4 linked regions of the Drosophila melanogaster genome follow. Changing the gene in region 1 together with any one later gene gives a genetic interaction. Each region holds a gene or a part of one and is shown in the gene's direction. Other genes may lie near its edges.

Evidence for each region.
Region 2: of Sxl (region 1) and ovo, changing one suppresses a phenotype caused by changing the other (phenotypic suppression), as found in Drosophila melanogaster (2 studies listed by BioGRID).
Region 3: of Sxl (region 1) and tra, changing one suppresses a phenotype caused by changing the other (phenotypic suppression), as found in Drosophila melanogaster (3 studies listed by BioGRID).
Region 4: of Sxl (region 1) and hry, changing one suppresses a phenotype caused by changing the other (phenotypic suppression), as found in Drosophila melanogaster (one study listed by BioGRID).

The regions. Positions count from the first base shown.
Region 1 is NC_004354.4:7,091,026-7,099,575, reverse strand, and holds the start of Sxl (Sex lethal), read left to right. Parts: upstream 1-1,522; 5' UTR 1,523-1,575; exon of another isoform or gene 1,576-1,631; intron 1,632-1,807; exon of another isoform or gene 1,808-1,952; intron 1,953-2,509; exon of another isoform or gene 2,510-2,578; intron 2,579-2,640; exon of another isoform or gene 2,641-2,761; intron 2,762-5,091; exon of another isoform or gene 5,092-5,805; intron 5,806-6,692; exon of another isoform or gene 6,693-6,808; coding exon of another isoform or gene 6,809-6,879; intron 6,880-7,405; exon of another isoform or gene 7,406-7,453; 5' UTR 7,454-7,825; coding exon 7,826-7,902; intron 7,903-8,550. Other genes in the region: CG4615 (uncharacterized protein), read left to right, coding at 1-202. UniProt on the Drosophila melanogaster protein: Sex determination switch protein, which controls sexual development and dosage compensation in females. Sxl protein is only active in females: it is inactive in males throughout development.
Region 2 is NC_004354.4:5,044,703-5,053,415, forward strand, and holds the start of ovo (ovo), read left to right. Parts: upstream 1-3,570; 5' UTR 3,571-4,428; coding exon 4,429-4,840; intron 4,841-8,713. UniProt on the Drosophila melanogaster protein: Transcriptional regulator with essential functions in the germline and soma. Plays an essential role in regulating the formation of apical cell extensions such as denticles and aristae, and initiating cytoskeletal remodeling during epidermal differentiation.
Region 3 is NT_037436.4:16,589,559-16,592,999, reverse strand, and holds tra (transformer), read left to right. Parts: upstream 1-1,949; 5' UTR 1,950-1,956; coding exon 1,957-1,996; intron 1,997-2,069; coding exon of another isoform or gene 2,070-2,140; exon of another isoform or gene 2,141-2,244; coding exon 2,245-2,648; intron 2,649-2,705; coding exon 2,706-2,855; 3' UTR 2,856-2,941; downstream 2,942-3,441. Other genes in the region: spd-2 (spindle defective 2), read left to right, coding at 1-1,596; l(3)73Ah (lethal (3) 73Ah), read right to left, coding at 3,226-3,351. UniProt on the Drosophila melanogaster protein: Member of the regulatory pathway controlling female somatic sexual differentiation, regulated by Sxl. Activates dsx female-specific splicing by promoting the formation of a splicing enhancer complex which consists of tra, tra2 and sr proteins.
Region 4 is NT_037436.4:8,671,764-8,681,578, forward strand, and holds hry (hairy), read left to right. Parts: upstream 1-3,995; 5' UTR 3,996-4,486; coding exon 4,487-4,585; intron 4,586-5,608; coding exon 5,609-5,704; intron 5,705-5,841; coding exon 5,842-6,660; 3' UTR 6,661-7,490; downstream 7,491-9,815. UniProt on the Drosophila melanogaster protein: Pair-rule protein that regulates embryonic segmentation and adult bristle patterning. Transcriptional repressor of genes that require a bHLH protein for their transcription (e.g. ftz).

The DNA.
Region 1 (8,550 bases):
CACTGGCCACCACTTCCACGGTATGATGCAGCTCAAGTTCGGCGGCGGCTTCTACATTCTGGGCATTGTATTCTTCAAGGCGGACGGCACGATACCCATGGCCCATGCCATTTGGCATCTGTTTGTGGTGCTGGCCGCCGGATGTCACTATTACGCCATCCTGGTGAATCTATATCCAAGCGAGGGAGCCGCAGCACCGTGAACAAACGAGCGCCACAAAGCAGTTGTGGTAACATGCAGCGAATTTAGAACTTAGAGTACTTAACGACAGGGATTCGATGTTGTCAGCCATGTGTAACGTATTCCTATGATATACCCGATGTACCCGAGTCTCTGCTCCACAATTAGCCAAATTTTAAGCGAGCGAGGACGCCTAGCTTGTAGTCTAGTTGTAGCATTACGAACTAACTAAATCGAAACGATTCTTGTGATCAGTATGTGCGGTCTTGCCAAAGATTCAAATTGTGCGAGTGCTCATCTCTCCCTCTCCCTCTCAACTTTAACTTGATATTATTAGCGATATTCATATATTTAGTATCCATAACGACCCGTTTTGGCCATGTGTTTCTCAAAAGACTTTGAACCGTACTCAAAAGGCAAAGGACACGAATATTAAACTTGTACAAATATCCGAGAGTTAACGACCTGAACCTTTTGAACACTAGAAGCCCGCCTATCCCGCATTGCATTATGCATGTTTATACAGATTATACAGATATATTATATACCCATATATACCCATATACACAAGTAGATAGAATTAAGAGGCCATCCGATCCGCGAGTCCAGCCCCTTCGGCCAGTTTCATCGCCGAGCTCAGGGACAAATCGATGTGTTCGCAGATACTGAAGAAGGTGACTATTTACAAATACGCTTGATATCTTGATATTTTCGGGGCCTGGCTCGCGATCGGCGGATATAGCTTTCGTGTACTACTCGTATTTATGGTGCAGATCGATTAGTTTTAATGGCTCTAATAAATTGTATATTTCCAAATGAAAGCAAAGGGCTCAGATGTTTGTTGCGTGCTCAAATATAATTGTTCGTTTTACAATGTTATGCATGTATCTTGTTTAGCTTATTCATACATCTTGTTTAGCTTTAAATATATGAATATACATATATTCTTTTTTTGGTTGCAAATATATATATATTATTTTATTGAAAATTTTTTTTTGTTTGTGTAGAATTCTAAATATTTAAATGAACGAAATCTAACGGGGCTCAAAAGACATAAAATTGTATCTAATTTTAATTCGTTATTTTCTTTTCTTTAAATGAAAATTTCAAGCTTGATTTGAATTCCCATATTTGAATTTTATGTGACCGTTACGAATCAAGCGAAGGTGTGAAACTTGGCTAAATGGGTTCGTGTATTCGCTAAATGGAGTGAGTCTTAACTAACGCGGTGTAGAAAATGAACAGTGTGACCAGCCGAGTGCCTAGAAAAATAACGAAAACGCGTTTAGCCACCGTAAAGCCACCCAAATAGCTTAAATTGACCGACAACCGCGAAACGTGCACACTGCTTTGTTGTTGCCGAAGAAGGAAAGTCGCGCAGTGAATTTTTTTCTGGTAATTTTTCTTTGCTCCTCCTGACACTCGCCACGTAAATCAAACACACGATCCAAGTGAATAAGTTAAAACGTTTTAAAAATCATGACAAAGAAGCTGTTTTGTGTGCCCCATGCAATCCGTGTAGCTACAGAATAAGTGTGTGAGAAGAAATAAATCCCCATCGAAAAAACAATACACACACAGACACTGCAGCATGTACATATATATGCATATAGATATATATATATACATACATGCACAGGGTTTCTAGCGTGACGTGAAGTGTATATAACGAAGCGAAATTAAAAGAACACGCAAAAAGAGAAAAGTGGAGAGGAAACGATAGTGGAAAACACGCAGACATTGTGAAAATGCGCATAGATCATATCGCAATTGTAGTAGTACAATTACAAAAAAACCAAGCATTTTTGGAGTTTTTCTTTTCTTTTTTCAAGTTATACATGTTATTTTTTTTGCTGTTGGCCTCAAATACATACATATGTACATCTGAATAGAGCGAGTAAAGAGCAGTATACAGATACTCGCTGTTTTTTGTTTCTTATTTTTTGCTGTATACGGTTTTTTGTGAAGTTATTGAGCTGAAAGAAGAGTGCAAAAGCGATTGACGAGCCGAAAACATGTTGTAAAATTCCATTCAGCATTTCCCACCACTACCAACAACAGCAAAGCAAAAGCAAAGCCGTTTTTGCTCGCTCTCCCACTCCTTCTCTCTCTCTCTCCCGTCCACTCGTTGTTACTTCATGTACTAATTTTTTTTTCTGTGCTTGCGGCTTCGTCATTCGCATGTATATACATATGTGTGTGTTGCGCCTACGTGAGAGAGCGTGCGAGTGTGTATATGCCCGCAAACGCATAAACACACGCGCACACACTTGCAAGGCGATTCACGCGCCTGGCTTACACTTTGTTTTTTCTTTTTTTTTTCGTTTCCGTTACAGTTGTGTAGTACATAGCAACATGCAAGCATCGCCCAAAAATCATATGCACATACACATAAACAGTAAGTTGTACATAAAAACAGCAGCGTGTGTGTGAGTGCTTAATTCTTTTTTTCCATTTTAGTCTCTAACTAAATAATAATAACTAAGCCGCTGGGTAAGTGGTTTTGTTCGTATACAAACAGCTTTTTGGGGCAAAGAAACAACAAGAGAAACCCAAGGGCAGTAAGAACATATAACGAAAGGTAGGCGAAAAAGACAACAACACACATGCATACAGTCGCGTCCAGTTGTGAAGGGCCGAAAATTCTGGAATAGATTTCGCTTTACCTGAGTGTTTATCGCGTGTCCCTTTTTCACTTCCTTTAGTTCCGCTGCAAATCGACTACCTACATTTACGCATATCCTGTATACATATTACTTCCTGTTTCACCAACTATGCCACCATGTGTTTCTTGCTGCGCATAAATTGGAGTATTTTGTGATTGCTTTTAATAAGTAGATATGTACCTATTTTTTGGTGGTCGACTGTGGCGACCGCCCTACGTCGACGGCATTGCCAGCTGTTATCATCGAAGGCAACGTGTTTTGGCGTACACTTCACTTACACATGTGTCCCTGGTTAAGATATGACATATTTTGGAGTTTCCCAGAGCTTCTGCAATTAAAATAATTGTAATTTCTTCGTTGAGTGTTTATATAGCTTTAGTTGGCGAAACATTATTTTAAAGATCCTCATTAGCGACACGCGCCTTTCGGTTTATGGCCCTCCCTTTTCCATTGAAGATCAGGGATCCTGGATATTTCCAGGCAGGTAGTGAGCGCAAGGGAAGATGTTCGCTTCGCCCTCCGTTGTTGTCTCTATCGTACGCTCAGCTGCCGTATTTTTTGTTTTTCAAGTTGCAGCTGGCTGGTGGGAGAGGAGTGGAGTGGTGAGGAGAGGGCAGCTGCATTTATTTCCTTTTCTCTTCATCTCCGCTTCTCGGTGGGTCATTCCCCTTCTTGCTGTTGGCAATGACGTCGCATCGCAACGATCGTTCCCTTCGCTTAAAGCGTATTGGAAATATTGGAAATGGCGGTAGCTAGTACTACCCCCACCTCCACCAACACTCTTAATTCACATTTCTGCATTCCATTGAGGTCATTCCCTTGCGCAAATTGCACGTTACACAATTCCCATGAGCGTTGCACCCCGTTTTAAACCTTATTTGGTCTTCAGTTAATAAAAGCTTCCCAACAGTGGTCTCTAGATAATGCAACTACTTAGCGTCGTTATTTAAGAGTATATTTTGTAGCGTTGAATGTTCTTATTTCGATGTTTTTATGGCAGATAATACTGAGTTAAATGAAGTTGAATACGTCCTTGAAAGTATATATGTTTCGGTTCCGCAATGTCAAGTGTTCACTGTACTTTTTAAGCTCGCTCAATGTTTTAAAAAGCATACATGCATACATATGTACATACATGCGCATTTGGATACACTTGAAATAACAACAGTATAATAACAATCCAAGCGGACGATCAGCTGGAATGTTCGATGGATCGTTGATTGTGTCTGGCAATGCCGCTGTGATTTTGTTTCCAGACCGAGATCCATTCATGCATGCGGGTACATGACTCATTTTCCCAGCTGAGCGATTGTTAGATGCACAGATGTGTACATGCATCTTCTATATGTATATATGTATACATTAGCTCATGTACTTAAATGGGCTTTTATCAGCTGTTTAGAACACACATTCACTCAAGCACTGCATAATAGTGCTGCTCTATTTACACAACTGTGCTCCAAATTAGCAGACTACTGTTATCAAACTGTAAAGTTTTTCTCGCATTTTGTTATTGCTTTACAATTCGCTGGCGCTTTCTCCATCTCTTTCCCTCGTACACTGCCGAAAAATGTCTGCTAAATGGTGTCAATGAAATCAATGAAAGCCTGCATTGTTTTTTTTTTATTATTGTTATGTAATATTTTTTTCTGTTGTGTATCATTGCAATATTATTTGCTGCTTTGAATTATTAAACAGCTAAAAAAGTCATATATATTAACATTTTATCGTAATATTTAGAAATAATTTTGAACTATTTGTTTTCAATTTTTTAATATGATACATTGGATATATTATTACCACGCATTGTGATATGCATTTTCCCCAAAAGTTTTGTCCGTGATGGACTTTCTTTTATTTTGGTTTTTGATTTCATGGTGATTTAGCTTTCACCCATCTGCATATGGAAAGTCTATGGGTCTTTGGTACTCTATTACTTATGTTTGAATTTTCTTTCATTTCTGGGCTCTCCCATTTTCGGAATGACCGACCTTCTGGTTACCCTTTTGTATTTTCCCCCCACCTTTTTGCTTTTTCCGTATTCACAGCTTGTGACGCTTTTCGTTTCTCTATTTCCGCATTTTCCGTTTTCACGCTGGAAAGCGAGGTACACACTCTGTTTTATATATTTCTGTACATATTTTCATTTTCCTTCCCCTGGGCTTCTTTCTTTTTTTTCGGCATTTGCTGTATATTGTGTACATGGGAAAAGAGCAGCCCTCGAATTTGATGACCGTACCACCCCATTCCAGCCGGCTTTTATTCTGGTTTTTGTGTTTCTGAGCGACCCAATGCGATTTAGGCCGCCCCACCCACTTGGCCGCCGCCCCCCTTTGCGCCTTCGTTTGGCTGCCCTCGTTTTCTCTGGCTCCTCTTCTTCCCCCTTCTCCGCTGCTCGCATCTCTTTTCGCAGCTTCGTATTTTCCATTTTGATTGTTCTCTGTTTGCCAAAAGTTTTGGTTCCTCATTCGCTTCCTTGGAAGGAAGCCCAGCTCTTGCTCTTATTTTTGGCTGGGGGATCCCAAAGTGTAGGACAAATACTCATGTATCGAGTATCCAATGGATTTGCTTCCTGCTTGTGGAAAAATAATGGCTAGGGCTTAGGGCTCACTGGAAATGGTACTTGATAAGATTGGAAGTTAATTCATAAACATTCTTCCTACAAGAATAATATACTTATCTCGTACAATGGTCAAATTAATTTGCAATTAACGATAATGATAATAAAATATACACTAAAAAAATTAAAACCAATCTTACACTAACACCAATACTAAATTATCACTTTGTGCATTCTTTTTTTTTGAGAATTGAACTACTGTTCTTGGCGTTCGATTAGAGTGAACCAAACGTGCGATTAGAGTGAACCAAACACCTTGACTGTCTTAAAGTTTCTGTTGAAAAATTGGCAAAGAATTTTCCTGCAATCTGTGTTCTTGGTATTTTGTATTTTGGGCAGTTCGATTTTTTCCACCCGGCGTTTTTATAAGCGGGGAGGTAAATCTGCTTTTTCACCTGCCCCTACCCGAAATCCTAGCAAAAAGGCAGCTGCAATTGGCCTGCAGGAAAATAGGATCTATAATGGGTTATTTATGGCGGGGTTTATGTTAATGGGGATTTAGAGTTAATAGCGATATGACTCTTTTCAGGATTTATATTTGATAATATCAATTGCTCTTACTTGATTAGACTTTTAATTTGAGTACAAAAACACCTAAAATTTTAATTAGTGTTATATTAGTGTAATACAAATGCAATAGACATTTAACAGTAATAGATTAGATATGGAAATAGTATTGTGCTGGTATTGCTTCAGAAACGGATAACGTTTTAATTGCCCAAGTTCAGATTGAATCTTAATAACCAATTTTAATTGTTATGCCCTCATGGAGTTATTGGAGTCGTAGTTTGATACGTTCTAAGAATCTTATTACCTAACAACTAAAAGATGTTCACAGAATTTAAATCGGGTAGCAATACAAAATGCAGCTTGCTTCCAAGTAATTAACATGCAGCTTGCCACGTTCCACCTTTCGGCGTTTTCCACCCACCCGGCCCAAAAAAATAGAACTATCACCTTGCCGGCATCCAGCTTCCGAGAATGCGGAACATCTGCCTGCCTGCGAAGATCCGCGATCCGGGAATCGGGGATCCGCGAAATGCAGCCGGCCACCCAAGAAAGTACGCCTGGCACACTTCCTAGCGGGATCAATTCGCGGGATCTTAGGTAGCCCACGCGACTGGCACGCGCACCTTGCCTCCTTCGATCTTCTACCTGGCACCCAGCCACCGCCCACTCGCTCGGCACCCCTCTGTCGATCCTTAAATAGATCGATGGCCCGCAGGACATCTTCAGTCGAGTTCCACTCGTGACAAGTCCAACTTGTGTTCAGAGATCTTGTGATTTCTTGTGTGTCTTACATTCAATTTGTTGAAAAACGTAACTTTGTGATTATCCCATTATGGATTTCAATTTTGATACTGTGACTCCCTGTTCGACCATGTCGTCCTACTATAACTTTAAGATGGCGAGGTATGTTGAGTTCTATCCAATCGCTTGTTTGTTTGCTGGTCAAAATATTGTATAAATGCGCAGCTTATTTACTAGTGACTTGTGTTAAGAAATCGTTTGCTATAACTTATGATGGTATGGCAACCCTGGATAAGCGACTGTATACAAAGTGTTAAGGATTTAAGTATTTATTAAGTGTATTCTTAAGTTATAACCTGTGTTAGTGTATATATTTCTTCGGGATCTGCTTAGAAACAATATCTAGAATCTTTTCTTTTTTAATGCCTGACAACTATAGTTTTAAACACTCACACACACACACACACATAAACTCAGCTCAATGCGTGGTACGATTAACGGAACTTCTCTATTTAGCTGTGGGTTGATCATTTTATTTCGTTCATTAAATCGTGCAGCACACAATTCACGTCTTTGTCATATTTTTATTGTCATCGTATAAATGTAGAACCACCATTACACCCCCTCCCCTCCTCAAGCTAAGGGAAATTCAATTGAATCTAAACTATATCGATCAATCAACTCCTAGTACCAACAACAACAACTAACTCTTCAACTTCTACAACAACTACAACAGCGCGCCTACAAGAACAGCTATAATAAGCACACACTTAAAAAAAACCCCATAGGACTTAAGAGAGGAAAGCACAGTGAGCGTGCACACATGTAAAAAGAGAAAGAGAGCAACAGCAATTTTAGTACAACACAAGAAAGTTGAACAGAGGCAGAAGAGAAGTAACAGGAAAACAATAACAACGACAGCAGCAGGCCAGCTGAGAGCGCTGAGCGCCAAAACAATTGAAGAGATCGATTGAATCTCGATCATCGTTCTTAACCTCAAGTCAACTGCAACTCACCTCATCATCCTTTTCCTGTAAAACCGAAACTCACCTTCGATCGAGGGTGTAACTTTTGTTGATTCGAAAAACACACTCCCAACTCTCAGGATATGTACGGCAACAATAATCCGGGTAGTAACAATAATAATGGTGGTTATCCCCCATATGGCTACAACAACAAGTCGAGGTAAATTTTTAAACTTGAGTTCTCACGTTTCGTCAGCCACATCCACATCATTTATGTTTGATCTTGATACCCATTCGAATGACAATCCCCAATCCCCTCTTCCTTTCCACCCATTCCTTCCCACACATATAACACACAAAACTTTAAGATGATACAGTGTTTACCTAATTTTTTTGCTACCCATACCTCTTTGGCGAACGAACAAAAGACCAACCCAACCTTTTTTTGAATAGTTTGTACGAAGAAGAAAATTCCATGTTGCTGGAAAATAGTTGCAGTCAACGTTATTATTTTGTTTAGATTTAGACTTATTGGTTATGAAAGTTCAAGTTATTTGCTTGTTCGAAATCTCTTTTACTAGCAAAACTTGTCGGCATATGTGCATTGGTATTTGTGCAGGGAAGGATGTCGATTGACAGTCGATAAAATCTCGAGATTGTTATCGATTTGCTGTCGATGTCACTGGCAAAGAAAAAACAAGGAAATCATATTGAGTGATGTTCTCCCCCCTATTCATTCTACATTCACACACATACACATTGTTTGGTTTTTAGTTCACTTGATTCTTCTTTTTTATTTTTGCGCTCTGATATTATCAGAGACAGAAAGAAAAACAACAAGAACAGCCACAGGAATGGATAACAATAA
Region 2 (8,713 bases), 2.0 Mb from region 1:
TTAGTAGGTATCACGGTATCGAGCATATCCAATTGCCTGCCGCTTCATGTATCCATGTGTGTGGGGTTTTGGGCGTTGGGATCGGTACTGCAAGAGATTCTTCTTTTTTTTCCAGCGGCTTCTTCCTCTTTTTCATGTGCTTCCTCCGCTTTGGTCGCGTCTTCAATTGCTGTTCTTGATGTTGTTGTTGTTGCTGTTGTTGTTGTCAGGCGTGTGCGGTGCGCGTTGAATCCGCTATAACAGTGTTAGTACGTTAGTAGGTATACAAACAGGTAAAACAGGTATTCCCAGCCGCTCTGCCGTGCTCATCATCATGATCATCGCGATGATTACGTTCTTTTGCTGCTGCCGCTGCTGCTGCTTTTGCTCTTTTTACCACCACAATGGGCTGGCTGGCTGGCTATCTGCTTCTTGCTTCACTTGAAGCATTATTTTAGCGAGTCGCCGTCGATGACGACAATTGAGCAAATAAAGATAAGAACCAACAAAAAGTTGTAATAAAAAAAAAAACAAAAAAAAAAACAATAGAAAAAAGATCGCCAAACTATTTCCATACATTCCATTCAAGATTTTATTTGAATTATTTTTTTTTAAATAATCTAAACAATTGTTTCCTTTTTAAATTATGCAAAACCGACTTTTGCTTGGCAACGCACCTTTGGCTTTCCAAACTAATAAACACAAGACATTTTACCCATTTCTGCACTTTGATATATCAAAATAAATCAAAAATACACTACTGATCATTTTTTTCGAGTGTACAACACCATCGCACAATGGCAAGAACTACCAGCCAAGAAGGAGTGAATGAGATCGAACGATCCAAGCGCATTGAGGCCCAAAGGAACACATTCTTAAACACAGCAATTACCCAGCGAAATGGGCGACGGCGGGCAAAGAGGGGTGGGGGGGGGTGTCTCTCTGCCCGTGGAGCAGAAGATGCAGACACTAACAACGAGAAAATTCTGTTGGCTCCGTGGGCCCTCTTCTACGCCCATACCGCCCCCTTCTTGGAACGAACCCCACCCAACCTAAACAAGAACCCAACTACCAAAGCCAAAGTCAAGGCATTAACAGCCCAGTGAACACACTCACACACTTGCCATGTGCAATTCCACACTTACGTACATCGGTATAGATGTATACATATAGACAAGATATATATATATATATATGGATCTGGCAAGCAGTGTCGGTCGTGGTCTATACCTTTGGTGGCCTAGGTCTGGGCCAACAACAAAAACCAGCTCGATTCTCATTGGGTTCGCAATCAAGAACTTGAGATTCGCTTTTGGTTAGAGATCTCGATCCACTATCTGAACTTTGGGCTTATATTATAGTCGCTTCAATAACCATTTTAGAATAATAAAGCTTTAAACTAAACTAGTTGCATTTTAAATTTTCGCTGAGAGTTTTAACTTACTTTTTATCTGCAAGGGTTTCAATTAGATTCTGAAAATAAATCAAAGAAAATCAATTATTATTTCGTATAGAACTATTTGCAAAAAATATATAGACATAATACAAATTCTCGCTTTCAAGAACATTCTATGTACACAATGTACATATAATCAAATCTTTTAGTACAACCAAAATCTGTGCATATTTTCGTTCTGGACCAGAACACTTGCATTTTGGCCAACGAGCGGCTTTTTGAGTGAGAGTGAAGTTGGCGCAGGAACAATGCAGCAACAACAACGCAGGGGGGGGGGATGTTCTTCAGAAGGCTCCACCGACCGAGAAGAAGAAGAGCCAACGGAAAACCTCTACTAACGCCAACATCATGACATTAACATTGCCGCTGCCTCAACGGCAAAGTCACAGTCAAAGCCAAAGTTAGCAACAGGTTTTCTGTGCCTGCCACTTCGGCCTCAGATTCTCAGAGCCGCTCTTTCTCCAATTCTCTCGCGATACACATCGATGCACGGAAATAAAATGAGTTTCAGATAATTGAATTACAAATTCTACCGATTATTTTCAATCAGAGGCCAACATTTTAAAAATGTGTTATTTCTTAAAATTTTAACTTGATATGAAATTAAAAAAAAAAAGGATTAAGTTGATCCTCAGTTTTATGTTATTATTCTATTAAGTTTTGAAGGGGCAGCGCACTAATTTCTTATGGTGCACCTCTCTCACCTGCGAACGAGGCTTCGTTTTCAGTTTCGGACGTGAGTTCGTCTTCGTTTTTACCTTCGGCTCGTTGCTCTCTCTCTCTCTACCTCCGCACACCAGCTCAAAGTTAGCTGTAAATTTGTTACGTCGCCGCAAAAGAGCGTATGCGTGCGTGTATGTATATGAGTGTGTGTGCCACACAGGTGTGCGACGCTCTGAATTCGCCGTCGCTTACATCACTTGCTCTCCATGTGTGTGTGTGTGTCGGTGAAATAACGTTAGTTATCCGTTGGCAGCGCACCTGTGCGGGTTGAAAAGAGATGGAGCTAGGCCTTCTTATTTGCCATTCTAAGCGCATTCTAAGCGATCTTCTCTCACACATACAAACGCATGCGCACAAGGATTTAGGGGAAGGAGAGAGCTGGTGAAAGAGAGAGAGAGAGAATGAGACGCACACCTGAGAGCGAGAAATGCCTGCGTTGCCAACTATTTTGCCGTTTAATTTCGCTTATATGGGTACATTTTTCCATCTTACTTGCCGCTGTTGCTTCTTCTTATTTGGCTCGTTATTTCTTCTTATTGTATTTACCGCGGTTCTCTTTCCATCGTTGTACACAAACACACTCGCACAGATATAATAATGATGAAATTCTTCAAGGGCCACAATCATGCCTCCTTTTTTGGGGTTCTTTTTATCGAAAATCAAATGACTTAGGAAACAAACTAGCCAGAATATTTAATTATAATTAGGAGGATATTTAAAAACATTATTTGCAAACTATTTCATTTAAACAAATCGTTTTAATAATTGATATCTATTGATAGGCTTAAGAACATTTAAGAAAAATATCTATTTAAATTTAGCTTTAATTCAATTATTTTAAGATGTGCTGTAAATACAAAGTCCTTAGTTCGAAAGTACAGTACAAAATTAACAAAAAATGACCGGAACATAAATATTTATATTGAAATTTTTCTAAATTTTCTATTAATTTGCCAATCCAACCAAATTCTAAGTACCACAAGTACAGCTCGCGGTATCGGGTAAAAACGATCTCAGCCGGCAAATGGCCAAGGCGAAGATTCTTGATCATGAGCGTGATCATCATTATCATCACTACCTTGACTCTGAGGAGGGAAAGAGAGGGCGCGTCAGAGAGACAGAGAGAGAGCGCGAAACTGCATGAGAAACGTTATGTGAGCGAAATGAGGCAACGCACACAAAACACTCTCACTCTCTCTCACACAGGTGCGCTTGGTTCGCCGTTTCGCCGCTGTTTTTCTCACCTGAGCAACGGCGAATATCTCGTTATTTTCTGACTCATACGAAAGGGAAGTTTCGCTCTTTCTCTCTCTCTCGATTTACGGTGTTTTAAATTCGCCGTCTAACTGAGTTTGTTGTAGCGGCGAGATCGATCGGTTGACTTTGGTTTGGCCTAACTGACTACCTCGAATACAGTAAGTTGCGAGCCGGCGTTGTGAATGCACGTGTTTTCGCTTAACTCACCTGGGCGAATCCCAAAGACCAAAGCAAACCATTAAACTCACATAAAACAATACAATTTATAAAAACGAAAACACTGTGTTGTGCATCAATCAATATAGTAATATATTGAATTACATCCATACAAAACAGAAACAAAATTTTTTTTGAGTAATATTTTTTACAAGTGCGCTGAATAACACAAATAAATCAAGAACCCAACAAGTGTTTGAAAACCCAAAAAATAAATTGGGAAAAACAAAAATTTCTCATAACCGAATATTTTTTTTTTTTGAAAACTTGGGGGAAAAATCAACACTTTTTTCGACAAGTCACCGAAAACTTAAAAAAAAATTGATTTTTCAAAAAAAGAACCAAGACTCGACACTGCCGAAAAGGCAATATTTTTCAAGTACATTTTTTCGAAGTGTTTTGACAAAACAAAGCAAAATTCTCGAACCAAAGAACAAAATCACGAAAGGACACCCCAAAACAATCCCTCAATTATAATTGACTTGACTTTGACTTGCAAAGCCGAAGAACTTTCAAAAGACATGAAGAGGGCAAAACAGAAGTTAACTTGAGCTCGGCTCATGACCAAATCAAAACTGAAATCAAGCAATTTTTTTTTTTTCAACACAGTGGACGAGCGGCGAACAAACATACACACACAATTGGATTAGTGTTTTGTTTATTTCGGACCCACTGTAACTGTCCCTCGTCCACCTGAAAATACGAAGAAATTCGTCGCCTCCTTGAATTCGTCGCGTGTCGCCGTCGCGTTTCGTTAAATCGCTTATCGTTCATCGCAAATCAACCGATAATCCATCATGCCGAAGATTTTCCTGATCAAAAATCGCCTGCATCAGCAGCAACAGCGCTTGCTTGAATCGCAAAACTTGCTGCAGCACAAGAATCAGGATGATGAGCGCTTGGTGCCGCCCCTCAGTCCAAGTGGGAGTGGTAGCGGCCCCTCGCCAACGCCCACATCCCAACCACCACCGGAACCGCAAGGTCAGGGGCAACAGGTGCTCGGACAGGTGCCCGATTCAGATCAACAGCCACTGAGCCTCACGCGCAAACGATTCCACCATCGTCGTCACTACTTCGGACAATCGCGCCACAGTCTCGATCATCTCAATCAAAATCAGAGCCCGAATCCAAATGCAAATGCAAATCCCAATCAAATACAAAATCCTGCGGAATTGGAAGTCGAATGCGCCACTGGCCAAGTTCAAAATGGTAAGTTGAACTTTTCTAAAACAGAGTCTAAAAATCTTTTCGCTGCCTTATACATAAATACACCTTTAGGAGCGATTAAATTTCCGTTTGCCAAACCGTTGTCACATAAATGCGTTCTGTTACTTGTTTGGAATACTCGAAGCACAAAATATCAAAGAACAACGCAAAGAATTTTAATTTACTTGGATAAATAATTGCTACAAATCTGTCAGTCAGTTTTTTTTTTTTTTTTTGGCCGATGGCAAATCGGCTGGCAATACAATGCGCCATATCTATTGCCTGGAAATCTTTTCAAATTTCAAGCTTCACTTTTGGGCAGCTTTTGTTATTGCTTTTCGCCCACACCATAACGAACTCGTCCCCAGTGTATCTTTGTATCTTTGTATCTATATCTGCCCTGTCTATCTTCCATTCTCCAAAACGGAGCTATGGGTTTACTTCGACATCAATCACTTTCATTGAATTTCGTAAGCGTATTATTTCGTTTTATTTATTTTTTTTTTTTATTTTGCCAAAAAAGCCAAGCAGAGTTCTCATGTCTCTGTTCTGATCTCTGTTTTCTGTTTTCAGTTTTCTTTTTATTTTCTGTCTGTTTCTGTTATATAATCGCCCAGCATGCTTATTAAGTCATTTCGATTTAGGCGGTGGTCTTAGGTTAAAGGTTTAAAATTTTCATAAATGATTAGGCGAGAAGAACTTTCTTCGTTTTCGGGGCGAGTTTTATTAATTAAGTTCTTTTCGATTTTATTTGAAAGTGAATTTCGTTCAGCGTTCTTTTGGCGTTTTTTTTCGCTAAAGTCTTTTGTTTCTAAGCATTTTTTAACTGCCCTTTGTCTGGCCTTAATTATATCTATATTTTTATGCAACCATTATGGCTCGACTTCACTTCAAGAGTAGCTTCTCTCACACGCAGCCTCATAATTTTGCCCCTTACGCAGGCATTATATTTCATGGTTATAGCTTATATATATTATTTTCACGGAGCGCGTAGTTGAGTGCTATATACAACATTTATTAAATTAAATAACATGTTACGTTCTCGGTTCCTCCCGGTTTATCGCCAAGCCAACCAAGTTCCCTTCATCATCTCTATCGCCCATCCACTTAAAAATGTATTATGAACGCTTCCGCTGTATAATTTTTATGAGTTCTGCGGATATTGTAATGGAAGTTATTTGAAGGGAAATCGTTTCGCAACGTTATATTCTCAAAGAAAAAATTTTTAAATTGGATAGAATTACACAGAAGTTGGTGAGCTCATCGGATTCGCATAACTTCATAACTAACACTTTGAAGTTTTAAGTTCCAACTTTGATCAATCTATGCAGGATTTAATATTATTTAGGTCTTGCACTCTAAACATGTGTTCTCATGCTGCTCTGATTTCAAAGAACCCTCTGGTCACACTGCTTGTTCACTTTTTTTTTTTTTTGTTCAATTACCGCTCGCTGTTCGTGTTTTTCTTGGCTTTAGTGGGCTGTGCCCATGGCCAAGAACTTCACACACTTGAGCGCACACTCACACACTAGAGCGAAGCTAGAACGAACGAAAAAAAAAAAATTATATAACTACCAAAGTACAAGGTACTAAAAGCCAGATACAAGAAAAAATCTCCTCTCAACCACGCAAAAGTACAAGTTTTGCCAGAAGATGAAGAACCAAAGCCAAAGCAAAAAGAAACGGAAAAAGAAAAAGAAAAGAGTGCGGAGCAGAAAAAGAACTTCATTTTGTTTGGTTTTGCAGCCTAGACTTGAGCTAAAGTTCCAACTACACACAATGACTAAGAAGATCATCATGACGATCATGAGAGCCAAGTTCAGTTGAGGAGGTGGAGCAGGAGAAGGTGGTTTGGGGATGAGGACGTTGGGTGGGGTGCATTGTAGGTACGTCGTCTGCCATTTGGCCTAAGCAAAGTCAAGGCAACTGGCCATAATAAAACTTGTAGAACCAGTCGAATTGAAGACTGGGGAGAAGAAACTCACCAGAAGAGGCAGGAAAGGCAAAAGAACAGAGCTTGTGAAATGCTAAAGGGCCTTGGAGGATGAACATTGCTACAGGAGAAAAAGCAAAATGCGAACCAAGATGCTCGAGAAAAGCGAACCAAACCGAACCAAAACGAACCGAACTGAACTTCATGCATATATGGACAAGAATTCCTCCTAGTTTCTTCGCCCGCCACAGCTGGAAGTTATGAGCATAACTTCCTGTTACATTTTCCTCTATCTTCAGTCAGCGATCTTTATGCCGCGAATTTCTCTCGGGCCACTAGTAAAAGTTAATAAATAACCGAAAGGAAATTCATTGATCGACCGATCGGCGATAAGGAAATTTCCAAAAATAAAGGAGAGCGATCAATGCAAATTCTGCAGCTGTTAGAACTGCAAGTTCAATTGCACACACAGAGCTTACACGCAGATGTTGCAATCCTCGAGCGGAAGTTAGCGAAAGGTTCCCTTAAAGACCTCGCGACCCTTCTCCAGAGACAAGTTCAGCGAACCCTCTCCAAACAACACTCACCATCTCAAACAAAACCAAAAAAAAAAAAAAATAAACACAGACGACGACGAGTCAAAAGCAAAAGTCAAGTGGTAAATGAGGTAAATGGTAAGGTAAATGCAAAAAGAGAAAGACAAGGGGGCAGTAGTAACAGAAAACAAAACCCAAAACCCATTACTTCATAGTGCCAGTGCTGAGATTTTCTTCGGAAATCAAATCAATTCTATTGTTTATTCAATTAAGCGCTTGATCCCCCAGACGATTCGCTCTCCGATCTTCAACTAATTGAAATCTAGATGGGCATCTACACTTGATTGCGCATATGTAAATGGAATGAATATCAACTGATGAGAGCCTTTTCTGCATTGATTAATCAAGCCTCATATGGGTAACCCTTTTCATTATCAAAAACCATATAAGAATATCAAATGCTCTGCTTAAGAAGAAAAAAACCCAGTTTAGCTACATTTAAAATGATAACAACTAAATGATAATGGCAAAACAATTAACACACAAATTTATTTGAGTAAACATACTTTTCAAATTGCATACCTTGGAAGGTAGCTCAAGTTCGCAACCTTAGTAATTTTTAATTTTGAATCGAAAGACTCAGGCGGCAAACTTGATTTCTCCAATAGGCATTTAATATGAGTTCTTTTCGCCTCGTCTTTTTTCTTCCTCTTCCCTTGGTATACGTACATATATTTTTGGCATTAGTTTTACCTGCCGAAGGACTGATAAAACAATGCACACTATGTATATGTAGGTGTGTGCGTATGGAAGTGAAACGAACTACCTGTGCCAAGGGTTTGTTTTTTTTAATCTCCCAACCAAAAACGATATTTGACAATCGGAAAGAAAGAGAAAAGCGAAAAAGGGCAAACCAGAGAATCCTGCACACCTCGATAACATTCAAAGCCGAGATTTATTTGTGCAGTGAATCAACAAACAAGAATACCCAGCACAAAGGAAACGGCAGAGAGGAACACAGTATGAAAGAGAGAGAGAGAGAGAGAGAGACTGACAAAAAAAAACAGGTCTCAAGTGCTGCCAACCGAGAAGAAGAAGCAGCAGCAGCAGAATAAGAAGAAGAAGAGAGCAAAAAGAACGTAGAATATACATTTGAAAAAAAAGGAAGCGAGTTTTTTTTTTGTCCGCCTTAGCTGGGTGTTTTTCTTTTGCCTTTTTTTGGTATGCAGTTGAAGAAGAACAAGACGAAAAAGAAGGAGCAATGTTGAAGAGGAACAAAAGAACGAAGAAAGAACGAAAGGCAGCTATAAATATATATATATATATACATATATTCGTGATCATGAGCAATGATCAGCGCAATGATGATGATAATGATGGTGCGTGTATTTTCTTTGTCATTGTCCC
Region 3 (3,441 bases), on another chromosome or scaffold:
CTGTCCTCGCCAAGAAGCTGTCTCTCGTCGCCGCTGCTGGACAGCACAACCAGTTCCGACCGCCGGCAGCTCATGAGTGGAGCAGCCCGCAAAGCAAACTCCTCGCCCGCAGGTAGTGAGGCCAGTTCCACCAGCGGATTCACAGCGAGTGGAAGACGTGGGTTGGGAACCAGCTCTGTTGCAGTGCCACGTAGTATTTCGCGCTGCTCGAACTCTAGTGAGTTCAGTCATCGCGATGGAAAACTGCTCCCCCTAAAGGTGACCCACACGACCCTCTGTTGGGGAAGCACAAAGCTGCGGACAGATGTGCGTAAGTCCATGCAGGTTAAGAACACAGCGGACAAACGGCTGGTCATTCGGCTTGGCATCCAGGGACCCGGATTCCAGCTGGTGGGCACCGACAGCAGCACGATCACACTCCAAGCCATGGAATGCCGCTCGGTAGTGATCAACTTTTGCCCCACTGTCTGTGGAGCGGCCATCGGAGCCTTGTCTTTCTATGCACCACCAGGAGCGCATAACAGCAACCAGCCGGGCCTAGAGATTCCGTTGTACGGCTACGGGGGCAGTGCGTCCATCACCATAAACGGTCTGCTAAAGGGACCGGTGGGCGCCAGTTTCCTTACCATCGGCGATGTATGCGAGCTGTCCGCTGGTCCGCTTTCGGCGAATCTCAAGTTTCACAACAAGGGCCCTCTCACCGCTTTCGTTGGTATATCAGTGGACTCCACCGTGCTCATGAAACTGCGCCTCAGCGAGGCCTTCGAGGTACGTCCGAGCCGCTTGATATTGCCGCCAAATAGCGAGCGCTGCGTGCAGATACTTTTCCGACCGAATCGTGAGGACTTGAAGAACATACTTAAGAAGACCGCACAGGTGTTGACCCTGGCCAATATGCGGATTTTCTGCGGAGACGAGCCCAACAGACAGCGTATGCGTAGCTTGGTCCAAAGGATGAGCAGCCGACAGCGAGAGAAACTCACATCGCCGATGCTGGACAGCATTTGGGGCGAATTTCCGGACGAGCAGCCAGTGCGCAACATCGGTCAGCTGAACGAACCGCCAGAGTTTATTCTGGACTTGGTCACAGTAGTGCGGATTATTGATGTTGCGCTTACCCTCAATCGGGACTTTGATGAATCGTCTGAGAGTTCCCTGATGTTCCTGCCGGAGGCCGACGAAACCGTGCTATTCCGCACCATATGTGTGGCCAATTCGCCGACGCCAACGCAGAGCCATCTATTGGAGCCAGTGGATGAGCTATTGGAGGCGGACACCACAACGTTGACGCCCGTCGAGCAAAACTGGTGTGTGCAGCCAGGTTTGCTGGAATTCGGAGTGGGCTGTTCGCCACTGGCCACTTTGTCCGTAACCAACAGCTTCTGCTCCAGGCAGCTCATCGAGGTCACATGCAATGTGCCCGATTTGGTGCGAATCAGTCCCAGTGAGTGCTACGTATCCCCGGATGGCGGCCACGCGGAGATCGATGTGCGCCTGCTCCGCTCACCCAGGCAGGATTTGCTCGAAAGGGAGCCGCTCATTGTGGTCTCCATGGAAAACGAGCGCATCAGTGTCCCGATTAGTTTTAAATTTTAAAATTTGTTTTATTTGTGCCTGCTAATTCTGCTTTCCCTATGTTTGTGTAGTTAGTTTAAACAAAAATTGTATTGTGTACTTGTGAAATGAAACCGTGTTTGCAGAGTATTTGTAAGGAAAACGCATAACCCTAAAGTTAAAATACTCGCTTGTTTCCTAAAAGTTGAATTTAGCTTAAATAAAAACTAATAAAGTATATGAGTTAATTTTAAATTTTGATATGTTGCTCTCGAATATTCAAAAAGTAACGTATATGTAGCGATAGTTCGTCGAAAAGTGAGTTGGCGGGCACATTGCAAGGTGCAAGCCGAGTACGGTCACACTGAGGAAAGTGCATCATTTAATTTCCAGCATTTTCCGATGAAAATGGATGCCGACAGCAGTGGAACCCAGCATCGAGGTACCCACTATATAGTATAACCGATCTGATCAGATTCTGATCCAGTGCCATCTTTTTGTTGTTTTTTTTCTAGTGTCATATTGTGTGAAATGTGAAATGGATGAGAATGAACGCTGGACGACCAGACAGAGAAAGAGAAGCTAGGACAATAGGACTCTCAACTGCGCATTACGTGGATTCCGTCTCCGACGATGCGCCAAACACTATGCGTTAGATGCATTGACTAACCGCACACTCTTTTCACATAGATTCCCGTGGCTCAAGGTCTCGATCCCGGCGAGAAAGAGAATACCATGGGCGATCAAGCGAGAGGGACAGCAGAAAGAAGGAGCACAAGATTCCGTACTTTGCAGACGAGGTTCGAGAACAGGATCGGTTGAGAAGATTGCGCCAAAGAGCGCACCAATCCACCAGACGCACTCGCTCCAGATCCAGATCACAGTCGTCCATCAGAGAGAGCAGGCACAGAAGGCATCGCCAGCGCTCTAGGAGCCGCAATCGCAACCGAAGTCGCAGCAGTGAACGAAAACGCCGTCAACATAGCCGAAGTCGCAGCAGTGAACGAAGACGCCGTCAACGGAGCCCGCATCGGTATAATCCTCCGCCAAAGATCATCAACTACTATGTGCAAGTGCCACCACAGGATTTCTACGTTAGTAGTTATTTGTATTGAAACAAATAACAAATCTAACTTAAATCGATTTTGCAGGGGATGTCTGGTATGCAGCAAAGTTTTGGATACCAAAGGCTACCACGTCCTCCGCCGTTTCCACCGGCCCCCTACAGATACCGCCAGCGACCGCCGTTCATTGGAGTTCCGCGATTTGGCTACAGAAACGCGGGGCGTCCCCCATATTGAACATACTCCATTCGACATAATTACAAATTTATTTACATTCGTGTGTTTTGTACATTAAAATAATAAATACATATATATTTCAAACTAAAAATGGAGAACATAAAATATTGCAAACGGAGAACGTTGATTAAATCATGAGCAAATGCAGCAAAGAAGGCGGCAAAAAAAGGGTCACACGAGTTAGGAAGTGGAAGTTACTTAATTCTAGGAGGGATAACCATATATTTACGACTTTATACATGCACATTTACACATACACTCATGGTTTCGAGGGGACTAACACTAGCGACTCTCCTAATTACGATATTTACGCATTGTCAATAAATTATAAAAATAGATCATTTGTTGTGGCATTATACTAAAACAGTGGTTAGAGCTCGACCCGCGGACGAAACTGCAGCCGAAGCGGCGGATCCCGGAAGCGCCAGCGCGTCACGTAGACGAACTTCAGCGTGTGATCCTTGCCGAGCAGCTCCTCGTTGCACAGTATGTCGATCTGAAAGATAAGATACGTAGTTATCATATAAGTATGTGCCATGTATACAAGTAACTAAGCCAGTCTGAGCTTTCACTGAGAGCAGTTACT
Region 4 (9,815 bases), on another chromosome or scaffold:
TCAACAGCAAATTAACCGGCTGAGCCGGCAAAGCGAGGATCCACAAGGCATTGAGAAATACCCATATCTGAGGGATTAGAAAACATTGTAGCTCCCTTTGTGGCCTCAAATTTGGGTGACATTGAAAGATAACAAATGAGTTTTATGTTGATTTTAATATTTTCAGATCTTTACAATACATTTCTGAGAAATCATAGACATCATGCTATCATGTATAGCATTATTCAAATCTTTCCATAACAGCTTCCGAATATTTTAAAAAAGAGTTAAAATATTAATATATCATATTATAACATATAACCAAAAGATACTGTTAGATCGTACTTAAAAAAATAAACCCGTTTTGAACTGCCCCCTTTTTCAGTTATCCGTTTTCCGCATCACGCGATCCACAGATCCCTTCCATTTTTTTGCCCTTATAAAGTCGCTCGGCCGAGCAACCTAAAAAATTCGACATAAAAAACAAACGCATAACGTAACGAAGACAACAGCCTCGAAGGAAGGGGAAAAATGTATTTTTGCATTGTTTTTTTACCTGTTGCTAAATTTAGAATGTCTGTCGTCGGGTATTTGCTGACGTTTGTGTCGAAAAATTAAGCCTTCTGCCGCAAATAAAACCCCACCCACCGTCGACCGACCTCTCGCCACCCCCTTTCACATTACCCTCCCTGGCCGAAAATAAAATTCTGGGCAAAATGCGTCGTTACGCTTAATGAGTAATAAAATACTTTGCACAATGTGGGGAACAAATGCGATTGCTAACTCCCACTCACTCTGATCCACCCACTCAGGTTTGCCAAAATTTACAGCGCCATTAGTTGCGAAAACAACAGCATCATACTCAGAGAAAATTAAGATCATTTCAGGCCCAATTTTAATGTTTTATTTAAGGGTCATTAGTATGTGAAAATTGTATTGTATATATTGTAGAATGATAATATAATCAGAAGCATTATATCACTGTTTTGTATTCATCAACCAAATTTATGCTGAAATCTTTAGAAAATTGTATGTAAAATTTTTGGGCAGTGCATTTGCAAACAGCGGATAGCTCAAATGTGGCGCGCGTTTTTAACAGCGTTGGCGATTTTTATGGCGTTTTAATCGCGAGAGTGGCGCGCGCGGCTAGAAATTTATTTTCGCCGCGGCCATGGAGCGTCCGCATGTTCTCTCTTTCTCTCCCTGTTTGCCCCACTCTCGGGCTTAACAGTTGCTCCCCTACCCCCACCAAGTACTGTTATTTTCAGTTACATGCTGCTGTTGCCGACCTACTAAGTTAAAAGCGGCGCGTGGGGGTTTCTGTCGCTGTTAAACTCGCAACGTTGCTGTTAAAAGAGCCCTACGATCAACAGTATACATAGTATAGTATATATAGTATAGTTTATGGATACTATATATAAATAATATCAACATAGTTAGTATCTAAGATAAGATTTTCTGTATATTTTAAACTTAATAGTCAAAACTATATGGTATTTTGAGTCTAGTGAATAACCATTTTGAATGATAATGGCACACAAATTGAATTCATTGATCTTATAAAATACAAGCAAATAATAATACCTATAATATTATACATATGCTATAATGTTATTATCAACGCCTTTACGATTATTAAATAGTTAACCAACATGGTCCAAAATGATTCGAAATACCTTCAAGGGGTTCTTTATCGTACCACCAACGTGTTTGTTTTGTTTTCAGTGATCAGGGCTCCCGGGGCTTATGGGGAATCTGGGGGATCTGGCGCTGTCTAATTTTAGACGCAATTAGCAATGCGCACATTTTTGTGTGCTTGCGCCTTTTCGACTATAAATTTTTGCCACAGTTTATTTTAGAAGCTGCATGTGATCGGGTCCGCCAACAACAACAATGGGGCGTCAAATTGGGCGTTCAACGCACAAACAACTGCGAGTGTATCTGTATCTGTGACTGTATCTTTAGCGTTGTATCCGTGAGATACATCCACACCTTTGGCTGTTTTTGGCCAGCTAGCATGATGTAAAACGCCGCCAACGTTTTCCGACCTCTCGTTTTTTTTTCTTTTTTGTTTATTTTCTTTTTTGCTTTTCGTTGCAATTAAATTGGCATGCACAAGTGCCGCCTCTGCCGCCGACAACGCCTCTGCCGACGCTGACCGCGGGCGGGCCGCCTTTTGATCGGCTGCCAAATTGTAATTGGAACGCGAAGGTGTTGTCGACGTCCGCCACTACCGTCTATATATATATGTATCCATATTGTTGGGGCATGTGTTCTCGGCATAACAACCTTCTCTGGCGACCACAAAACGCACAACACTTTAGACAACCGTCAAAAATGTCAGAAATTCCCCAAACTTTTTGAGTATTTTCACGAATCGATAGATATGCATATTTGTAAGACGTGATTGTTGATTAAGTTCAATTTCATTTAATTATTAAGCAGAAATTAAGTGTAGTAAAATCAAATTAACTTCTAAACGTTTTTTTACTCATCTTCATTAGAGTCAACTTTATTAGTTTCTATAAAAACACTGCCAGGTGGTTTCGCTATAAAAAAAATATTGTAAACACCCGTTTTTAGCCAACTTGAATGTTTAAAGCCTGACTGACTCATTCCAATGTAACTTTGTTGACGATTCGTGGTTTTGGTATAACTTCACTAATCAGTGGTCAGAGTCCAAGTCAGGCTTTAAAAATATTTCCCAAGAACAAACGTCAAAGATAACGTAATTTCCTTTTATAGATCGTGTAACCTAAATATGTGTCATCTACCTTTACTGAGCTCAGCCTGGTTAAACTAATTACATGGTTATTACCATTTCTTAAAACTTAACCCATATTTTGTAAATAATAGATGGCTTAAGCAGTTATTTAAAATATCACTTTCGGTTGTAACGAAATGTGTGTGACGCACTTTGGCTTTTTACTACCAAATAAACAATATAATTTAAGCTTCATTTTCACTGTAATATTCCCAGTTTTCACTGCAATGCCCCTCTTCTCATTCTGCTAATGAATGGTTAGTTTTCTGATGCCCGACTATTCCGCGTGTCGCGTAATTATAGTCAACCTTCGATAAATCATTACTCCAAAACAAAACAACAAATAATATATGAAAAACGTGAAAATCCAACGCTGCACGTAGAAGCCATCAAGCTGAATCTAAGCGTCCGGCGGAGCACGTGTGATCCACGCAGCCTTGTCCACAGCGATTTCCATTTCATTTAGCCCGTTGGCGGCTATCGATCAAAAGCCAAAAGGGCGACCTTCACTTAATTGAGGCGTACGGCATGCTGAATGAGTCGGTTGTACAGACTGGTCTGGAAAATGCTAGGGGGATAACTATAGCCACCACCCACTGCCCGATCGCCCAACCACCCAACCACCCAACCACCCACTTCCGCCTAGCGTGCGCACAACCTTGTGATCTTGTTTACTGTTTAGCGACCCCCGAGCCGCAGATACACAGTACACAGCACAAAAAACCGAACCTGTCGCACTGGGGTGGCGTCATATAGCCAGCTATTTTCACCTTCTATGGGACGTCGTCGCGTTGGCCGCATGAATCAGCAAACCACGAACGGCGAGCCACCAGAAACCACCGCAGAAGCAGCAACAACACCAACACCACCGCGACCATCACCAACAGCACAGCCAGAAACACAGCCTCTTGTGAATCCCTCAGTTAGCAGAGCCCAGCAGAGTCAAGCCAAACCGATCGCTGATCGACCGACCGACCGACGATCACCAATGGGGGTTTCGCAGTGTGATTTCCAAAAAGGAAGAAATGCCCATTCCCGCGAGCCACGGGGGCGTATGAGTAACGCGGTGTGTACTTTAGGTACCGCTCACAAGCGTGAGCACGCACACACACACACACACACTGAAGCGAGCAGGTAGCGCATAATGTATACCCCTAGGTAGCCGCAATGCCAGTGCAATTGTATTGGTGCGGTCGTGTGGCTCGCGCTCGCGTCTCGCAGCGGCGATTTAGCCTACGAACCTGTCGATCAATCGTCAGTCTTCCGCCGAGAGCCCAGCGATAAGGTAGTCCCGCTACGCTCCGCAACATCCAGACGCAGTAAAGCAAATACTTATATATATATATACATACATATATATAGCGCAACCATCCGAAAGCCGAACGATCGATCTTCTGCTTCGTGCCGAGTCGTTTCGGTCTTTTAATCGCACTGCAGCCAGAACCTGCTGCTCATTCGCCTGCCGTATTTCGTAGCGTGCGGTTCTATCGCTCCGCTTTGATAAACCGAATCGAAATCTAGAGAACCCCCCCAGACACAATACCATTTTACGTGCTTCTCTGCGACGCTGCGCGAAAGTGAAACCACCAAGTGAACTTGAAAAAAAAAAAAACTGACAACTTGAGTTATTCTAAAAAAAGCAAAAAAGCAGTGAACTTATATTGCAAAGAGCAGCAAATTCAGATTTGCTGCCAAGTGAAAACCAAACTGTGCCTCAAACTCAACAAACAATATCTGACCGAAATGGTTACCGGCGTAACAGCAGCCAACATGACCAACGTTCTGGGCACCGCCGTTGTGCCGGCCCAGCTCAAGGAGACGCCGCTCAAAAGTGACCGTCGGGTAAGTTTCTTTCGAGAAAAATAAGACTCGAAAAAAAAAATCCAAAGCCAAAAACAAAAAACCCCGTCAATGGATTAAATCAGAACCTCTAGTTCCCCGAAATCTGTGGATTAACTGAAGCGAACCAAACCGAGAATTCCCCTAATTGAGAGCCACCCACTTCGAGCTCAAGTTGATTTCCATTCGCGACTGTGGGCGACTGGCCCCATCAATCCCGCTGCCCAAATGCATTTCCTTTTTAGCCATCTCCCACATGGCTGGCTGGGAATAAAAATACGAAAAAAGAAAAACACTCTGAGCCAGACCAAAAAAAGGCCGCAACTGCCGTCGGCGCGCCAACACAAAGCGAATTTATCTCGCGTCGCGTTGGTGGCATTTACTATATGGCATATGGCATACTACTCCGACTACACACACGCTCCATCCATTCATGAGTGCCGCCCAAAATTGGCTGGCGTAGCTGCCCACCAGCTCCCCAGATTCGGACTCGGATTCGGATTTGGCTGCCACTTGGCGCGTGCGTCGCGTGGTGGCTGCAATTGTCGGTCATCAGCCGCCGTTTTTGGCCATTCGAACGGCACCGGTTCAATGAGTTGGCCAGAAAAAAAAAAACTGACTTCATGCGAGTCCAAATTTGGCAACTTGTGCTCCCTAGATAATAATGTACCTAGTTATGGCATCTTCGAATTTCCCGCTCTGACCTTGTCACATTCTCTTTATTTTTGCTCATACCTGGTTGGTTTATTTATAGCCACTGCCTGTAATTTATAACCGCCAAACTATTTTTAAATAAATGCCTCGGCCGAGTGGCGCTATAAATAGAGCACGCGCCGTGCGACTAAATTTGGCCGCCAGCCAGTCAATCCGCTCCCCAACCTACGCCGCCTCCTCCTTGATCTCCTCCAATCCAATTGAAGACCCATGCAGCTTCCTCTATTTTTGGGTCGTTGCATGAGGTCAAATTAGCCGTGCAAAAGCCGTGACTAATCGATGTTTTTTTTTTCCATTTCTTGCCTCTTGCAGTCGAACAAGCCCATCATGGAGAAACGCCGACGTGCCCGTATTAACAACTGTCTCAATGAACTCAAGACTCTGATTCTGGATGCCACCAAAAAAGACGTAAGTATCTGACAAAAATATAAGTTTAAAGCCACAAATAAAATAAAAAAAACTACATATTTGAAATTATCTCAAATATTTTTTAAAAGTTTAAATCATTGACTAATTTCCAAATTATTTTCTCTCTCTACTTTTAGCCGGCTCGCCACTCCAAATTGGAAAAGGCCGACATTCTGGAGAAGACAGTAAAGCATCTGCAGGAGCTGCAGCGCCAGCAGGCAGCCATGCAGCAGGCCGCCGATCCCAAGATTGTGAACAAATTCAAGGCCGGATTCGCCGACTGTGTGAACGAGGTTAGCCGCTTTCCCGGCATCGAGCCCGCCCAGCGTCGTCGCCTGCTACAGCACCTGAGCAACTGCATCAATGGCGTTAAGACAGAGCTGCACCAGCAGCAGCGCCAGCAGCAACAGCAGTCCATCCACGCCCAGATGCTGCCCTCGCCGCCCAGCTCGCCGGAGCAGGATAGCCAGCAGGGAGCAGCGGCACCCTACCTCTTTGGTATCCAGCAGACGGCCAGCGGTTACTTTCTGCCCAATGGCATGCAGGTGATCCCCACCAAGCTGCCCAACGGTAGCATTGCCCTCGTGTTGCCCCAGAGCCTGCCCCAGCAGCAGCAGCAACAGTTGCTGCAGCACCAACAGCAGCAGCAGCAACTCGCCGTCGCAGCAGCAGCAGCGGCCGCAGCAGCAGCACAACAGCAACCCATGTTGGTCAGCATGCCCCAGCGTACAGCCAGCACCGGATCCGCCAGCTCGCACTCCTCCGCCGGATACGAGTCGGCGCCCGGAAGCAGCAGCAGCTGTAGCTACGCCCCGCCCAGTCCGGCCAACTCTAGCTACGAGCCCATGGACATCAAGCCATCGGTCATCCAGCGCGTGCCAATGGAGCAGCAGCCCCTGTCGCTGGTGATCAAGAAGCAGATCAAGGAGGAGGAGCAGCCCTGGCGGCCCTGGTAGAGGGTGTCTGCATATGCATATCATATAGCATAGCCACCCCTATCGAATCTCCCGCTTTTAAGACTGACCCCCCACAACTCATCCAACTCGCACACATGCGCAGGCGTTGTGCGCATGCGCGTAGACATTTCACATCATTCGCCGGGATTGCGCAAATGTTGCTTTGAAGTGTTGCAAACATGCGAATCCTAAACTCGGTTCACAACTTCGTTGGCTTAGTTTCCTGGCTTATATCCTGGAAACCCGTCGACGAGGCTAAGGACCTTCATCAGACGCACCCACACACAAACACACACACGCAAACGTTGTTATAATTTATTTATTATTATATTATGTAATCGATTTGAGAGAACGGTATTCTACCAGGACATCGCCAAACTACCTCAGTCCAAGTACTTGGTGTTGAATTGCCTCATGTATCATGTATTACTCTTTGAATAACAGCAAATCAGCAAAAGTCTTCCAAACACAGAAAATGAAAATGCGAAAATAAGCACCTGAAAAGCTGAAATACTTTTTATGAAAAAGATAAACGCAAAAGCATAACTCTTACACATAGTCGTACATCTCCATTTAAGTATAGGTTTTGTACCATAGCCAGCTAAGCCGCTTAGGGTTTCTCTCGCTCTTAAGTCTAATCAAAGAATAATTATATTTATAAAACACACAAATCTATTCGTAAGGCCACGTGATATAGTGAACATAATGAGCTTCTAAGAAAACAAAACAAGAATTTGATGCAAGCAAAAGCAAAAAAATCAACAAGAAAGAAAAAACAAACAAACAACACACTAAAAAGAAATAAATTTAAAAGATTCTACTAAAAAATCAAATACGCAAAACGGATTTGTTATTGTGGTTGGGGTATCTTTTCCTGGGTTTTTTTTTCATTCGGGTGAAAGTCCCATTATGGTTCTTTTTTTTGTTTTAGAGGTCAAACGCTTTGAGTGACAGGAAACTTATCGAGCCCCCCGACTTATCGTAGCAAATTTCGACGCTAATTATTATAATGCCAATGGTGAAATTCATTTTGCTGGAGAGGATCGGCGGGGATTTCGACGATAATACAACTACGTTTTAAGGGGCTCGATTATGTCCGTTTCTGCTAATATAATCGGCACGACGAGTTGAAGGTTTTTCTGTGGCCAGACCGTAACGGATATAGATATATGTGCATCATAAACATTATATAGGAATGCCTTGATTTTCACACATCCGTTCGATAGGCCAGTAATTCGAAACAGTTGTGACGAAATAAATACTTATTATAATCCTTTGATCGATAATATTTTAAAATATTTTGCAATTTAATCATTGGTTATTCCAATCGAAGTGATCAGCAAAAGTTAAGGCGCACAAGGGTATATTTTAAAATCAAGGCAGGTTAGCTCTGATTGCAATAAATCCGAAATTCCATTAGCTAACGATTCAGCAAAATACCGAATTTCTTAGGGATATGGAATGTCAAGAAGTTGGCCACTATAGCCGCAGGAAAGTCGATCCGGTTCGCGTTAGTTGGAACTAAATCGGATATCGCCATGGATCATGGATGACCGATAGCTACGGATACATTTGGAAATTCCCTGGAACTAACCACTCGAATCCAGTGATATATACAAGTTTATCAACCATTAGGGAAATCTCTTACCCAGTAGCAACCGAGTCACGCCCTTCAATTCTCATAGTGCCCCCACTCTAATCTAAGCAAATCCCTGGGCCATTAATCGTCATGCTCGTGACAAAAGTTTCCGCGAAGTCTGCGGAAAAAATACCGCATCATGCTGATAATATGAGTGCGATAAAGCGGATAAGTGAATAAAATTGTTTTCCATTTGCTGGTGAATCAAGTGCAGAGAGCCACATTCACTTGCTCATCACGGCGTGCCTGCCACTCCCTTGCTGCAGTGCGTCTGTATCTGGGCCTAGTCTCGTTCGCCGTATGACTGGATCAGTATTCACTCGCTAACTATTCACAAAACTAACTCGTGCAGCCTCAAAGTCCAGGGGAAAATTCTCGTAAAAGCTAAGTAAAGATTGCACACAGTCGTTCAGATGTCGCATGTTCTGGAATCTAAGCAATACACTGGAAATACGCTTCGAGAAAAGTCCGATTGGGTGGTTTGGTGGTTGGGTGGTTGCATGACCAGGCTTTTGCCCCACTGAACCGAAAGTGCACTTGATTAGTCACTATGGGGGACGACCGACTTTCGGCCCATCAATGAGGATTACTCATCGTGGCTCGTCTAGCTCGAAATAGCATCGAAAATTTTGCCAGCATGTCTGCTAATTTACAAAGAAACCCCCTCTATTGACGCCCATTGAGTCATCATCGTTTGCCTTAATTGGCAAAAATCTGGTTTCTTTGGAGGACATATTTTTTAAATTAATCGTTCCCTAATGAAAATAGCCCCATTTGCCTTTGGCTTTTGGGGTTTTCAAAGTAGTTGTTTTAAATGTGTGAATAATGTGTATCAAGGGAGCCTGAATCAGAATGGGATGAACATATGTAGGTAGATTGCGGTTTCAGTAATGAAAATCTTCAGTTTTTAAAATCTTTGTACCTATATTATACCATTTCTTATACCATTTTAAACATTTTCAAGAAACGTTTTTTAAAAACCTTAAGTGCTCCCTATAATTCATGCACGCTACCTAATTTCCAGATCAGCACTCTGTGCAAATCGCGATTTGCATAGCTGCATTCCTTAGACGGCAGTCAGCATGTCGTCTGATTTTTGGTTCCGCTTGAAAGTCGGTGGTCCTTCAATTTGATCTGCTTGGCACCGCCATCAGCCCACAATACAAAACGAATTCGCCACAGTTGCGCACAAATGAAATCGAAATTAAAGAACTTCTGAGCACTGGGTACACTCAGTGCTGGGTTCTGAGTTCTTGTGGGTTTCACTTGCGTTGTGTTAAATGGGTGTAGGGAAGTCAGGGCAGTCAGGGCAGTCAGGGAACTCAGGGTCTGTTGCGACATTTGAGGCTATTCGCGACTGCGTGGAATGCCGCCAGTCGCCAGTTGTCACGTTTTGCTCTGGCAAATGACCCCAAAAATGAATGAAAAAACAAAGCTGTTTGTTTACGACGACTCGTGTAGCATTCCGTGGAATTGTGTGCGGCATGGAGCAGCTCACTTCGCATCGCATCATACC